Drosophila melanogaster: one gene and its partners. The protein of the gene in region 1 interacts with the protein of each later gene in a pairwise test. Each region holds a gene or a part of one and is shown in the gene's direction. Other genes may lie near its edges.

The links. The genes of interacting proteins can lie anywhere in the genome.
Region 2: the proteins of CG2233 (region 1) and sug interact in a two-hybrid assay, tested with the Drosophila melanogaster proteins (one large-scale study listed by BioGRID).
Region 3: the proteins of CG2233 (region 1) and CG15177 interact in a two-hybrid assay, tested with the Drosophila melanogaster proteins (one large-scale study listed by BioGRID).

Annotation. Positions count from the first base shown.
Region 1 is NC_004354.4:8,034,192-8,040,189, reverse strand, and holds CG2233 (uncharacterized protein), read left to right. Parts: upstream 1-2,672; 5' UTR 2,673-2,704; coding exon 2,705-2,928; intron 2,929-2,977; coding exon 2,978-3,290; intron 3,291-3,387; coding exon 3,388-3,464; intron 3,465-3,555; coding exon 3,556-3,970; intron 3,971-4,030; coding exon 4,031-4,246; 3' UTR 4,247-4,449; downstream 4,450-5,998.
Region 2 is NT_033778.4:12,927,113-12,932,244, forward strand, and holds sug (sugarbabe), read left to right. Parts: upstream 1-1,747; 5' UTR 1,748-1,819; coding exon 1,820-2,229; intron 2,230-2,671; coding exon 2,672-3,416; 3' UTR 3,417-3,532; downstream 3,533-5,132. Other genes in the region: CG17019 (uncharacterized protein), read right to left, coding at 4,255-4,430, 4,490-4,629, 4,690-5,132. UniProt on the Drosophila melanogaster protein: Transcription factor which represses a set of lipase genes involved in fat catabolism.
Region 3 is NT_033777.3:6,626,604-6,631,129, reverse strand, and holds CG15177 (uncharacterized protein), read left to right. Parts: upstream 1-1,808; 5' UTR 1,809-1,939; coding exon 1,940-2,299; intron 2,300-2,354; coding exon 2,355-2,465; intron 2,466-2,515; coding exon 2,516-2,722; 3' UTR 2,723-2,926; downstream 2,927-4,526. Other genes in the region: sunz (sungrazer), read right to left, coding at 110-310, 369-476, 532-885; sowi (solwind), read left to right, coding at 3,377-3,736, 3,790-3,897, 3,986-4,171.

The DNA of each region.
Region 1 (5,998 bases):
AGTTGTTAACTAATTTAAAAACAAAAAAGGAGAAAACCCCAACAAAAAAAAAAAAAAGAACAAACTAAAGAAAATCGAAACAAAATCAATTCAAGAAATCCAACCGCAAGGGAACGTCTCAGTCCAAATTGTCGGTACACGAATTCTTATTTTATTTGATTAACCAAAAGAAAATGTTATTAAAAATGTAGTCCGATCCCCATTCCCAAATCATCATCCTACGGACCGCTATGAGCAAATTCAATGAAATCTTATTGTTTTTCGATTTTAATTCGGCACATCACCCATGCACCTGTAATTTATACACACGCAAAAGGAACACCCACACACGCACACACACACACCCACACCTACACCTACACCCAAACACGCCGGCAGACACTGGGAAGAAATCCAGCACGATCCGCAGAATCAGAACCACAAACCAATAATATGGATACAAATGTAGTTAATAAGTCACAACAACCACGACATTTTTGTATATGCCAATGACGCGCCTAAACAAAAAAAAAAATGAAAACAAAAAAAAAAGAATGAAAAGTAATCCGAAATTGCTTTCTAATGACCAGAAGCCTTCGCAAGTAGGTGCCAGGATGCAGGATGCTATCCCCCAAATTGCAGTGACAATTCAGTAAATTAATGATACATGTTTGGAGTCTCTGCCGTCTTCCACCATGTGTATTCTTCGTCTACATCTTCACCCCCACCATCTGCATGCATCCAATCCTCCTTGTCAATGTGTCCTTGTATATAGATCCATGGGTCCTTCCAGATCATCTTTCCATCGGGGACTCTGATCCTGAAATAGCAGTAGGATTTATGATAGCAACTATCTGTGTCGAATCTAACCAAATCTGTAACTGTATCATGCACCTTTTTTTTTATGTATATTTGGGGTTCTGATTTCTATTTATTCTGTGCGTGAGCCTGTGTGTGCCCTGCAGTTGCATTCACCGATCCATTTTCATCGATGAATCACCGCTCAATTTGTTTTCAAAGAGCGATGAATTGTGGAACTGCAGGGTGTGGTTGAGATTAGGGATGCGTGTTTGTCTTTGTATATAGAGGCGGTCAATAGGTTCGTGTCTTTCCCCGGCTTACACTCGCAGCAAATTTCGTTTTGTTTGTGTAAATTAGTTTTTTTTTTTCGAAAGCGAGTAAAGAACAGAAAAAAAGATCACAAAACAACCCTTATTCTATATAAAGAACATATATATATATATATACAAAAATATATATATTTAAATACGAAAAATGTTGTATCTAGTAATACATATACAAAAATGAGAAACATTTTTTTTCTATACTTAATTTTAGCATTTAATTGAGAATAATTCGCACGAGGAGATAAACGTGAAATGTATGAAAATAAAAATTGGGAAAACCAAACGATTCAAACAAAAGAAGTTTTTAATTCAGTCAATATATATATATAAACAGGAACATATATATAGTAAAACCTCTATATATAGCGACATCCCTATATTTGCATATATGAATATAACACCAACATATATATATATATATATATATATTTTAACATCACCCGACGACAGAACAAGACGCATTTGATTTTGTCCAATCTGATCGAATCGCCCAAGTTCTAGCAGATGCATTTGGCATACTAGCATATAATTGTTGACCTTTTGTTGTTACCTAACGAGGGCATTAACTAGAAGACGATGATGATGATAAGGCGTAGTATAGCAAGATAGAAAGATAGAAAGATAGCCTGATAGCAGGATGGCTGGATAGCTGGATAGGATGGGTCAAGTGGAGTCGAGTCGAGGAGTATGTACCATATAGCAAAAAAAAAAAAAAAAAAAAAAAAACTCACTAAAGAATCACTTTTCTGAAACGTAAAAGCAAACGATCTTAGCCTTAAGCGCCTACCGCTAAACAGAATAACTTTAAAGCAACGTTACGTGTGGCACGTAATGCAGGAACTAATAATACTATTATTAATAATAATAATATTAACTATTACGATTATGAAGCAGAAAATCAAGGGGGAAACTAGTTTTCGCTGGCAGAAAGGGTGGATATAGAAACCATTACATTAACATACATGACATCATTTTGGCCCCTTTAGCATTCTCTAGATATACAAATACAAGAATTCTTAGTAAGCCTATTATTAATGGAGGAGAGCGTGTAAGCAGAAAATGCGAAGGAAACCAATTAACAAGTAAAACGTAAAACATAAAACATATTTTACCTTTAATGCGTACACTTAGTATTAATGAAATGGCCGACAAAAGCAAAAAACTATAAGAAATGAGACAAAAAATAAATAAAAAGGAAAAAAACAAAAAACTAAAGAAAACAGAGAAAATTTGCAAAAAAAAAAAAAAATAATAAAAAAAATAAACAAAAATTCATAAAAAAAAAAACAAACAATAGTGTGTTCTTATTTCATCGAAATTGTAATCGAATCGTTATCAATAGTGCCTTTTTCTATATTTATATATATTTTTACATATGCACAGTAATCAATGGATTGATTATTATTGTTTATTATTGTTTATTATTATTTTGTTTATCTCGAACCTCAGCTGAAATAATCGCAAAAGGGTCGCAACCTGCCAGCAATCACAAATCGTGCGATAAGAAGGTTATCTGCAGCATCAGCACCTTTCTGGGGGCTATAAAAAAGTGATCGCCACCGAATGGGGCGATCAGTTTGACTTTTGAATTCGTCGCGATGTTTTCGATTAACGCCGTGATCCTGGGCATTTTGGTTACTTCCGTTATGGCCCAGGATGCAAGGGGAACGTGTGAACTGAGCATCGGTTCTCCGGCTCCGGTTGTTATTAGCAATTTTGGCTCCCAGCGTTTATTGTTCGATTCCGTGCGAAAATTAGAACGGGAAAATTACCAGACCATTGACCTTTTCTGCGCGAGCGGATTTTCCATAGACTATTACAAGTACTGTTTGATTATCTTCTACTCGCATTTGCTGATGATTTGCTTTCAGCTATTACAACAACCAGATCTCGACTACAATCAAAGCGACTAAACTTACAATGACCTGCGACCCTATTCATCGGTTTACCTATAAAGATGGCATAAAAGATGTAATTAGTGTTCGGTGTCTGGAGGTCGGCCCTCAGTTGTTTGAGAGCATGAACAAATTGCCAAATTGCACGGGCATGACTCTAGTTGTCGGAAGAAAATTCGATGGCATTGGTTTAATAAAATATTCAGCATTGTGCTATGATTTGGCCGCATTTCAATTGAAATATATTGGTTATACCACAAATTTCAATAATATCCAGATTTTCCCAGAGGTGGGTTGTGTTAACTTTTTGAGCAATATTATATATTGTTATATATTCACGTATTTTGTTTTTTTTTTTTTTTTGTTCCATATACATACATGTGTAGACCCAATTGGGACAACTTAACGATATCGGACTTGATACTCCTATCAGTTACCAAAAAAATCTATTCGAGACCATCAGGTAGGTGCAATAAGGAGGTTGCGCTATTCCTGTGATTAGAGGAGTGGCTCTTTGATTAAAATCATAATTAACATAATATCAATTCGAGCAGCAAGAGTGAACTTGATGCGTACTTGGCAAAGGAGAAGCAGTTGTTCACGGAGGACACTTTTCAGGTTGGCAGTTTGGTCCAGGATGAGATGGTTAGTAGACACTTGGTTGTCTACGAGGACTTGCTGACCACCGTCTGGTTGGAGGTTCTGCGTTCCGGCAACTGGAAGCATTGGACGAAGGCAATGCGTGATGCCATCGGTGTCCACTTCGACATTCGTTTGGGTGTTTCCGGAACCGTGAAGCTGCCGACGTTCGCCGGGCAATCATGCAACGGAAGCCGATCGCTCAACATTGAACTGATTGGTGGCAAATTCCTGCCCATTCCCGCCCACATTTGGGCCCATGTTCACGCTGTGGAAAAGTCCGGTACCGGACAGGATGAGTTCGTCATCATTGGACACAACTCGCCCTTCGTGCGTAAATGCCATTGAATGTGTTATGCTCAGAAATATTCAATCCTTTCGATCTTGCAGTATCGCAGTGACTTAAGCAATCTGTGCCCCTCGATGTGCAACCAAGTGTCCTGGCTGAGGAACACCCTCTTCTCCAGACTCCACGAGTTTCCCGCCTTTGGAATGGTGCAGTGCTGCCGTGTGGAGGATGTGGCCCACAAACTGGACAATTTTCCCGGTCCCTTTGAGAATGAAAATATGAATGTCAGCAGGACAACCGAGGCTACCACAATATAAACAGTTCCCTTTATATTATCCCTCTGTTCCAACAAATATGGGACTCTTTGTGTACATGCAATTTGTATAAAGCGCCTTTTAATGCATTAAAATGCATTTAATGCAATAATACTTGTCTATATAATCAGCCCGTATTGCTTTGTATCCGTATACGATCCTTAATTCCAGTAATAAAGTCACAATTTGCGCATATTTGAATCTTTAAATATTATGTCAGTCTTCGACTAGCTCTTGTCGAACGCGGATGTAAAATCTTCTATTCTCTCTGAGAACATTTTGGTGTACATTAAATATTTTCTGTTTTCTTCTTTAATTGTGATATTCGCAAAAAACTACAATCAAACGTTCAAGTGATGCAATTGGCGATGCTGAAGCATCTGCCGTTGAAAAAATGCGTACTAAAAGGAATAAACCACTAGTGGAGCGCCAGAACGAACGGGGCTCCAAGCAATTTACAAATTATTTTCGTCCACTACAAACTTTAGACGATGATAATGATGATAAACCTATTGAAACGGACACACTTGATGAAATAATAATCAAACCACCTCCTATAACATTAATTAAACAAAATACAAAATTTGTACACGAGCTAATGGCTAAAATTAAAACTGATGATTACTTTATTAAAACCATCTCAATTGGAATTAAAATATTTTTACCAAATATGGACTGTTTCAATGCAGCTTGTAACCAACTCAAGGAACATAACTGTGAGTTCTACACGTACGATACTAGATCAAACAAGCCATACAAAGCCATTTTATCCGGGCTGGATAAACTACCAATTGAAACTGTCAAATCCATGCTACAAAACCTAGGATTACAATGCACCGAAGTCAAAATTGTGGAAAAGAAAACTAAGTCTGATCATGAATTATTACTGTACATTGTTTATTTCGTAAACAAAAGTATCACAGTAAAGGAACTGCGCAAAAACTTTATGTATGTCAACCACACTAAAGTACGCTGGGAGTATAAAGTGAAATTGCAGAATAAAATTACTCAATGCTACAATTGCCAACTATTTGGACATGGATCAAATAATTGTTCAGTTAAAACATCATGTGCCCATTGTGCTGGATCACACCAGACTGCCGTATGTATGGACGTAAACAACAAAAAATGCGCTAACTGTAAAGGCGACCATCCATCGACAGAACTGACATGCCCATGCCGAATTTCTTATCTCAATTTACTTTCCAAACGCTCATCACAACGCATTGGAAGAAATAACTTGGAAGCTCATGGAATGAGGAATTCTAAGCAACACATCGCTCCATCTGCTCTCTTTGGAAATCAACCCCAGATCTCATTGCCTACTCAAACTAAGAGAGTGCAACAACTCAACTTTGGTAGCTATAGTAATGCACTCACCAATATTCATACTTTGCCTAATCCCAAAGCAAATATCACAAATGAAACTAATCTCTTTTCATGTGAAGAGATAAATTCTCTTTTGTCTGAATTAATAACAAGACTTAATGAATGCTCCAATAAGGGAGAGCAATTTCAAGTAATTTCTCAGTTAGCGATTAAGTATGTTTACACAAACAAATAATTTTATTGATAATTTGAATATTATGGCATGGAATGCTCGTGCCGTTAGAAACAAACGTATAGAACTGATCAAGTTCTTAGAAAATAATCACATTCACATAGCACTTATAAATGAAACGTGGCTGACTCATAGTGACCGTTTTAATATACCCGAATACACTATATACAGAAATGACAGGAAGGAAAGTAGGG
Region 2 (5,132 bases), on another chromosome or scaffold:
CAACCACGTTCGCCTCCACCTGTCGCACTGCTGATAGAGGGCAAGGGCTTATCAAAGTCCCTGATGTCAGGTTGTCTCTTTACGTAAGCCAGGGACCCCACTCGTTGGCCCGTGCACAGGGACGGATTACGTTGTGGGGATTGGTCGATTGGCGCTGGTGCTCTGCAGCGCCGGGGTAGAGCGAAGGTTGCTCCCCCAGTGATTCACGGGACCAGACAGCGCCTCCGCCGCGCTGATAACGACGATAGCTTTATGGCTGGCTGATAGCTGATTGCCATAGCCACCACCCAGCAGAGCGCAACTCCGCGTCCCGCCGAACCATTCGCGTCATGGCGCACCAAGTTTTCGGGCCAAAAGATATGGTACCATGGCGGCATGTGGCGGCGTTTGTTGACTTGGCGTGAGATAACCAACCACCACCACCTTATCGCCGTCCCAGACGCAGCGCCCACACACTGAGGTGAAACCGGCGGGCGAACCCAAGAATGAATTTCTGGGTTTTGGGATCGTACGCTTGCATATCAAACACATGTGGGGGAAGTTTAGTATTTCTGATAAAGTGATAAAATTATAAATGAGAATGTGTGTGGGGTTTCACAAAGCTCAAGCTAGAAAATATCACTTTTGTTTTCAGTGTACTCAAATCAAATTTAATAAAATTAGCGTGATTTCCTTATGCAACACATCAGTTGGGGTTTTATATCCATTATAAAGTTCGGAATTCAAGGAAGCTTCTAAGCTTTAACTTTATAAACAGCTATTAAGCTTAAAGTCTAATTTTAACTTTGTAATAATAAAACATATTGAGAAATTGAGAAATATATTACAGAATTGAAATTAAGTGGCTTCCACGAAAGTTTTTATCCATTTCCCTTCAGAGTATAGGAATCACATAACGATTCAAATTGTCTGCTTAAACTTTTGATTCTTTGTCTCAAAACTATAACTATTTACTTTTTAGTCACAAGCTCGAATATATAGTTAGGTCAGGAAAACAATTAATTGTTTTATTAATAAATCTATTTATGGAAATTATGCAAGGCGATCTTATAGTGGCCTCTTTGTAGATTCTAGAACTAGCCATTCTCAGGCAAAAGATCTAGATGCGTCTTCAGACGTATTAGTCCATTCGCTTTTCTCTGAGTGCACTAGTACGGCTCCAAGAGTTGACGTACCTGTTCCAATGAAGGGGTGCGATTCGGATCGGGAGTGGGACTCGGATCGGTACGCAGGGTGGGGTGCGGCAGGGAATTCGCTACGCGGTACGAAGTGCAAGTCAGGCAGGCAGGCAGGCAGACGGCACCGGGCGATAAGACTTGCCCCCCAAAGAGCGATCATCGGGCACACACATGTGCCTGTGTACATATGTGGACTGGCTGGCTGGCTGACTAGCTGGCTCTCCACTTGTGCGTTGATAAGCGGGCCCAGACCGTACCCTGGTCGCCCCCCAGTCACCCATCTGCGTCGCAGTCCATCCAGCACAGAGTTTCACTCACGTAGTGTGTGCTTTTGCCCCAGATCCATTTGCCCCAGCGGATTTTTTTCCACCGCTCCACCGCTACGCACCTGCTCCTCGGCGCTCCACTGTTTTGGTTCCGTCTGCCGCCGTCTGCTCCCCCTGCCCCTGCCACGCCCCCGCCGGACCCGTCTGCAGCCTTCGAAACTGATAAGCATACCCTGTCCGTCTGGGCGACCCCTTATCGCCGTCCAAGTTTCGCATATTACCCGAACCTCTGCAGGCGAGCGGCTCATTCGATCGGCAGGCGCTTTAGCGAAAGCAACAAATTTTCTCGATCAGCACCCACCACAGACAACAAACATGGATATAATACAAAAGTCAATCTTCAACAGCGGCCCACACAGCAGAGGCATCTACGAGCCGCCTCTCGGCTACTTTACGCCGTATAACACACCACCGTACATAGCCGCCTACTCGGATTCCGGCAGCTGGTTGGCGGATCACCACCAACACCACCAGCAGCAGCACCAGCAGCACCAGCAGCAGATGCAGCACATCAGGTTTCCCACGCCGCCCATCACACCGCCGCGTCCCATCGCCGGATACGGATATCGTCAGCGCACCCAGTCCGTGATCATGAAGGCTCGTGGCCAGCAGGACGAGCTCTGCCGCAGTCCAGTGGAGTTCCCCGACGACAGCAAGTCCTGCAGCAGCAGCAGCGAGTGCGGCACCGCCAGCGATTTCGTATGCAACTGGACAGATTGCGATAGGTAAGTGTCAACTGCATTACAGAATTATTGTGAAAATTTCAAAGAAATTTCCTAAAGGGGTCTCAGCACTTTCGTAATGTTTTTTAAAAACGAAAAAAAAACTCAGCATTATATTTTCTTTTGAATTTTGAGTTGCCAGAGAAAGACATTGAGTAGTTCTAGAAAAATATAAAACACAGTTCCCCCGCGTTTTACCATTGAAACTGATTACGCATTCGAAAGAAATAAAAAAAAAACCCCGGAGGCAGCCTGGCATTTGCTGAACTGTTGGACTCGACTTTTTGATAAACCCTCCAATAGCGATAATAATGTGATTTTGGGTCAAATTGATAGAGATGCAGTGTATTGTTTATGGTCAGCAAGTGTATTAATATTGGATAAGAAATCAATCCAGTACATGTTATTTTCGTACTAACCACTTATATCCCTTTGATCCTTGCAGAGTTTTCGACACCTTGGATGCACTGGCACAGCACGTGACCCAGCGACATGCGATCGCCAGCCTGACAGACGGACTCTACTATTGCCGCTGGCGGGGATGTCAGCGCAGCGAGCGAGGATTCAATGCCCGCTACAAGATGCTTGTCCATACCCGCACCCACACGAAGGAGAAGCCACATCGCTGTCACCTGTGCGAGAAGTCCTTCTCGCGGGCGGAGAACCTGAAGATCCACATTAGGTCACACTCGGGCGAGAAACCCTACAAGTGCAGCTTCGAGGGCTGCCAGAAGGCGTACTCGAACTCCTCGGATCGTTTCAAGCACACGCGCACCCATTCGATGGAGAAGCCGTACATGTGCAAAGTGGCCGGCTGCCAGAAGCGCTACACGGATCCGTCCTCGCTGCGAAAGCACGTCAAGACCTTCAAGCACAGCATCCACCTGATCGCCAGCCAGCCGCTCACTCTGCCCAGCGTACCCTGTCTCCTGGAGGCCAGCAGCGAATCAGCGTTCACGTGTCTTCCCGCTGCCAGCAGTGTGGAGTCCACCAGCTCCTCCTCATCCGCCCGCTACTACGATGACTCCAACAATGAGCCCAGCGATTACTCGCTAAAACCCAAACAGGATGCGGAATTCTCGCCCAGCTATTGGCTAGGCGATAGACAGCATAGCTATCTCCACAGCGAGGACTTCTTCGTTAAGATGGACGTGGAGTCACCGCTCGACCTGCGCATCCATCGAATCTGAACTGGCCAATCGGTTCGCCTCTCGTCTCTCTTCCCCTTCTAGTCATTGCGCTGTTTCCCAGCTCTTGTCACCACACCTAGATTACTATTTAACGTGATTAAAGACTGTTGTAATTGAACTGCTCTAGTTTGGCATGGTGGCATGGGAGTATCTTCGGGATTGATCTGATCTAGGTTCCTTCATAGTGGTTCTGGGCAAAAAGAGTATTTCAAAGATTTCGAAAAACCATAAGCTCAAGGTATGGGAAAATCCCCAGTTACAGGCGATTCGTCACAAAACTAGTGACCAATCTTAATCGACTTCGATTAGAATTTATGATCCAGACAACCTTTGTTTGGAGGAAAATCCCCATTTCGAATGGCTGGGCTAATAGAGCGCTAGATATTGGAAAATATTTATTGTTTAAATGCGCATCTAGACGAGTTTTTCACACAACTGTTAATAACAGATTTAATGTTTTTTTTTGCGGTTTATAGGAATGTTAGTTGATCTAGATAACCTCTCGTTTTTATACAAACAACAAGAACAAACAAAATAAATAGCAAAAGTATTTCACATTTGAAATAGATGAATACACTTTAAAAGCGATATCAGGTTTTACACTATATATAGGCATATATATATACTGGCAACATACTACAGAGAAGAACCAAATAATCAAATTAATATTATTGTTGCACTCGCGTCATTTAAGGAAACATATACGTTGTAGTCGCATCATCAGGATCTGCTGTACAACTTGTACAGCTGGGCTGGATCTGTATCTGTATGTAGCTTGTGGCGGCTATCGGCTTCCATCATTACACTATGTCCAGTTACCGTAAGATTAGCCGTATCATTACGCTCTAAAAAATCTTACAACTCGTACAATATATTGTCGGCAAATTGGGCACTCGTTCAACACTTTTCCACAGCTCGTGCAGGTGGCCATGTGTCCGCACTCTAGAAAAACGCACTCAATCGGCGCATCCATGCAGATCTTGCACAGCTCATCAGTGGCGAGTTTTTCAACAGCTGCGTAAATGGTTGAATCGTTATGAGGGTGAAATTGTAGTGCAAAGTCCAAAGCTCACCTGGACACTCGCGCATGGTTTTCCACAGTCTGCTGACGCGGTCGAGAAGCTCCTGCTTCTCGCAACATCCTTTGTAGTCGACGCGGTGCAGCATCAGCACCTCCTTCAACTGCTTCACTGTCAAACCCTCCAAGTCTTTTCTATAAATCAATAGAGAGGCATTAATCGATCATGAACATTCTAGAGAATAGAGCATTTACAAATCCTCAAAGTCTTCCAAATTGACAAATCGTGAGTCAATGCCGGCTGTCGGTTCGAAGTCCGATGGAGCGGCGTATACATGGATGCCCTCGTCATCGTCCCAGCGGATATCTTCGTCCTGCGTTGGCGAGAACTCAATTGTTGGCGTGATGGGCATGTCCGGTGATCTTCCACCAGCAGCCACACTGATAGCATCCACGCTGAGTGGCGACACCGCGTGGCTGTCCGCATCGGAGGCATCCACCGACTTGGTTCGCTGCTCCAGGTACGTGAGAAACTCCTGGAGCTCCCGTTTGATGTCCTCCTCGGACATTTGCGAGTTCTCCAGATGGCGTCGCATTTTCTCAACATGTCGACGAATGTTTGTCTTATTCTTACCGCAGCGCTGGCAGCTCTGGCGATGGGAGTGCGGATGCAAGCCGTGCTCTGGGTGTTCACTCAG
Region 3 (4,526 bases), on another chromosome or scaffold:
TTTCAACACTTGCGCTATTTTATGAAAGCTTTCCTTAGCAGGCTGAGAATGTATACAATTATGCAAAATACGAAGAATTTTCCACAAGGAACAGCCTCCTTTCTTTCTTTTAATATAAACCTTCTGGCGGAAACATAGACTCAATGTTGTGGCAGTACGCCACCAGTGATCTGTCCTTGTCATCCGGGAATATTTTACCCAAAAACTCGAGCAATCCAGGCTGATTCTGTACAATTTCGGCGTACTCTTCAAACGCTATCACCCCATCCTTGTCAGTGTCGAATTTTCCGAATATGAACTCGCACATGTCCTGCTCGGAAACGGTGCTGAAATGCAAGCATAATTGTCAATAATGTCAGTACACTCACCGCTCGCAATTCGTTGACCTCGTCGTCGTCATCGCCAGTGAAGAATTGTTCAATGGCCACGCCGACCACCTCGCGATTCAGAACCACAGCACCACCGCTTGTATAAACCTGTAGTCCATGGGGAAATTTAATAAAGGAGTAGCCACGATTTCGGAGCAACCACCTCAAATGCGAACTTCATTCGCTCCTGCAGACTTCCGTTGAAGAACACACAGAACAGCCGCATCCAGGCTTCTGGAGAGACTGATCGGCCATCCTGCGTGATATTCATCGAAATCCGGTCGATGATGGTCACGTCGAAGATCCCAAAGCTGACGAGGAATAGATTGTACAGCTGGCTGGTGGACATCATGCGGGACCTGTTGTTCAGGGCGTACTTGTAAAACACGATCAGCAAGCTGACCACTTCGTTGGTGGAAAACTCCGTGGAGGCAGCGAAGCTCTTGATCAAAGTACTGTACATGGTGAGGAACTTGTTGTTGGCCATGTCGTCCAGGGTAAGGTCGATGCGGTTCATTGTGTTTTTTAATGGCAATGGTAAACAAGTAATTATTATTTAAAATGTTTTTTAAGAGAGTACTGTGTAATGGGGCGTGTGTTTCGGGTGTGTGATGAAAATGCCTAACTTATGAGGCTCTGGCCTGCTTAAAAGGGTGAGGGTTATGCAAGACAAATTGCAAATAGATTGGGTAAGTCGCAGCCGCAGCCTAAGGATTCGCCGGGAATGTAACTGGCGCAATTTAAAAGCGATAAAACAACGCCGCGACATAAAAAATACATCAGCCACGCTACATGGACTACATCTGTCCCCCATTTCGAATAAATATTTGAAACAAACCCGCCTGATGAAACACACAAAGGCTGAGAAAAAAGCTGAAAGCTGTGCGCATGAGAAACGCGAATATAATAATCCAAACAAAAGCGCTGAGATGGGTGTAAAGCCTTCCATGTGGAAATTCGTCGGAAATGGCTGTGTAGCCATTTTGTTTGGGGTAACAAATGTTCGGAATCTCCTTCCCTTTGTTGTATAATTGTATGCCCCCTTCGAAACACACTCACGCAAGCACACACTCACACGTGCCACGCCCACCGAAATACCAAAAAAAATGAGGAGGCGGCTGAGCAGCTCGACACGGCATAATAACAATAAAATAAGAGTGGATGATGAAGGAGAGAGGGCGGCAAGGATTCACGCTCCTTAATGTCTCCACAGTTGACATCGCCAAGTGTTGGCGGATTTACAGGCAAGTTGGGCTGGATTTTGGTATGGACTTTTGATTGATATATTTTACGTACGGTGTTTGGAAGAGACTTACGGCATAAATTTGTTAAGCAAGACAAATGGCGCGGAAGCGAAATTGGAAACATTTTAATTCTCATAAAACGCTTAAAGAGGGCAACCATATATTTTGTATTTTTGAAATCCAGAAAAGCAGGCGAAGGAAACATATGCCAGCTGCACTAGACATATCCATTAAATCATTGTAACTCCTTAATCGATAATCAAACAATATCATATATCCAGTAGTAAATCAAAGTAAAGAGTAAATCACCGTGAGCTTCCCTGAACCATGGAAAACCTAGACTCCACTGTCGATAGCACCGAGAACAGCAAGTTCTCGGCCCTGTACGGTGGATTGATTAAGGAGATCGCTGCAACCTCGAAGATGTCCACCTTGGACATCACCTGTTTGCTTTGCGTTTACTACAAGTTCGTCAGGTTCAACGGACCTGGCGCCAAACAGATGAAGAAGAATCAGTTCTACCAGATCTACTTGGTGCTCTTCAACGTGGCCAATGTTCAGGTGATTGAACGCTCCCTTCTGGCCATCACCAAGGATACCAAGTACGTGAGTCCCCGTGCCTGGGTTGATCTCTTTGAGCTGTACACCACAGAGGATCTGGAGCGCCGTATGAAGTTTGCCTTTGAAGTGGGTAATGGATTGTTAAGCATTTCTAGAAGGCTCTAATAGGGTTCTTTATTAGGTTTATGACACCAAGAACACCGGAGTTATCGATCGCGAGCAGGTGGGCGTGGCATGCGAGAAATTCTTCCACGAAGGCGACGACGAAGATGAACTAATTGAGCTCAGAGCGGTAAGCTTGCTTATCAATTTAGAATAATTTAATAAATTTACTCCTCACAGGACATGACTGAATTTATTATGAAGAAGTTTGATGTAGACAAGGATGGAGTCATTTCGTTTGAGGACTACTCCTCGGTTGTTTCACAACAACCCGTTTTGGTTGAGTTCTTGGGCTGGCTATTTCCATCGAACGAAGAAAGGGATCTTATGGCCCATGTTATCAACATGGACTCCATGCTCAATTATTGTAATCCGGACGCAAAATAGGCTTGTCGTTTGATTAAGCTTGATTATCCCACTGTGATAATAATCGAACGACAAACGACAATGAATGAGGACCAAAAGGATGCCGCCAAAGTAGTTGATCAAAATTTTTGTATGATTTCAAATTAATCATTTTTATAAGCATGATATATCAAATTTCCACCAACACTTTGAAAATAAAGCAAAATGTTTCGCGTGAGCTGTCTTAAAAGGACTTGCGATTGGTTCTTGTGTTAACTTGGTTTATATAAGGCGATAGAGTGGGCGACTCTTTATGTGAACTAGCAGACACTGCGTATGCATCATAAGCTCTCCAAAATCTCTGTTCACATTCTGCACGGGGCTCTGATCAAGTGGATATGCACACTTTAAAGAATACTGTATGGGTAACGGCGCTATGAGCCGTTTTGGATACTTATATAATTCCGATAGCCAAAAACGAAAAAATGCGACGCAGGAGCCTTTGAACTTATACGAAATAGTTTTTAAACATTGTTATTCAAAATCCATCTGCCAACCCGAACATAACACAAAAATCACAAAAAAAAAAAAAAATTAGAAAAAGAAAACACACACAAAAAAAAAGTTTCAAAATAAGGAAAAAAATAACAAAAAAAACTTTACAAGGAAATAAAAAACATTAAAAAGAATTTAGTTATGGAAAACCTAGACGCCACCATAGATAGCATGGAGAACAGTCGGTTTGCAGCGCTCTACGGGAGTTTGATCAAGGAGTTAACCCTAACTTCGGAGTTGTCCCAGACGGACATCACCTGTTTGCTCGTCGTTTATTACAAGTTCTCAAAGGCCAACGGACCGCAGTGCAAGCAGATGACCAAGAAGCAGTTCTATCAGATCTTCTTGGTGCTCTTCAACGTGGCCAGTGTCCAGGTGATCGAACGCACTCTGCTCGCGATCACAAAAGATACGAAATATGTCAGTCCCAGGGCCTGGATCCACCTCTTCGATCTCTACACAACCAATGACATTCAAGTGCGAATGCGATTTGCTTTCGAGGTCAGTCCTGCTATCCTTAAGTAAATTTGTATCGAAAATACGTTTTCCCATAGGTCTATGATACCAAAGGCACTGGCGTTATTGATCGCGAGCAAGTTGGCACGGCTTGTGAAAAATTTTTTTACGGCGAAGACGAAGATGAACTTAATGAACTTAAGGCGGTAAGTAAACATAATTACTCTTTAATCGTAGTAGTAATTAAAACAGTTTAATGGATATTACTAATTAACTATCTGTCTGATTGTTTAGGATATGACCGAGTTCCTAATGAAGAAGTTTGATCTGGACAAGGACGGAGTCATTTCCTACGAGGACTATTCTACTGTCGTGGAACAGCAGCCAATTTTAGTGGAGTTCTTAGGTTGGTTATTTCCATCAAAAGAGGACAAAGATCTTATGGCCCATTGCATTAACCTGCAACTTAAAATGAATTAAATATAATGTTGGTGGTCTTGAAAAAGTGTTTACTGAATAGTTTCCTTTTATCGAATGCTAGAAATCCACCCTGAAAAGGCATCTAAACATTGAGCGACACGTTATTTTTAAATTTAGGCCTTAAAATGCCAATCTTAAATATTGCTCTTGACCAGCAGCATCTGAATTAAAGCGATAACTCCTGCCGTGGCTTATAGTGGCCTAAGCTCACCTTCACTTCGGGCATTTGTGGTCGGCTGGGGTCCTCGACCCAGTTGAAGGCATCTCATAATTATATGATTCACCACAGCCACACATTCCACAGTGGATAGTATTGCAGTGCCTGTCGGAAGTGGAAGTCGGTTAAGTAGCTCAT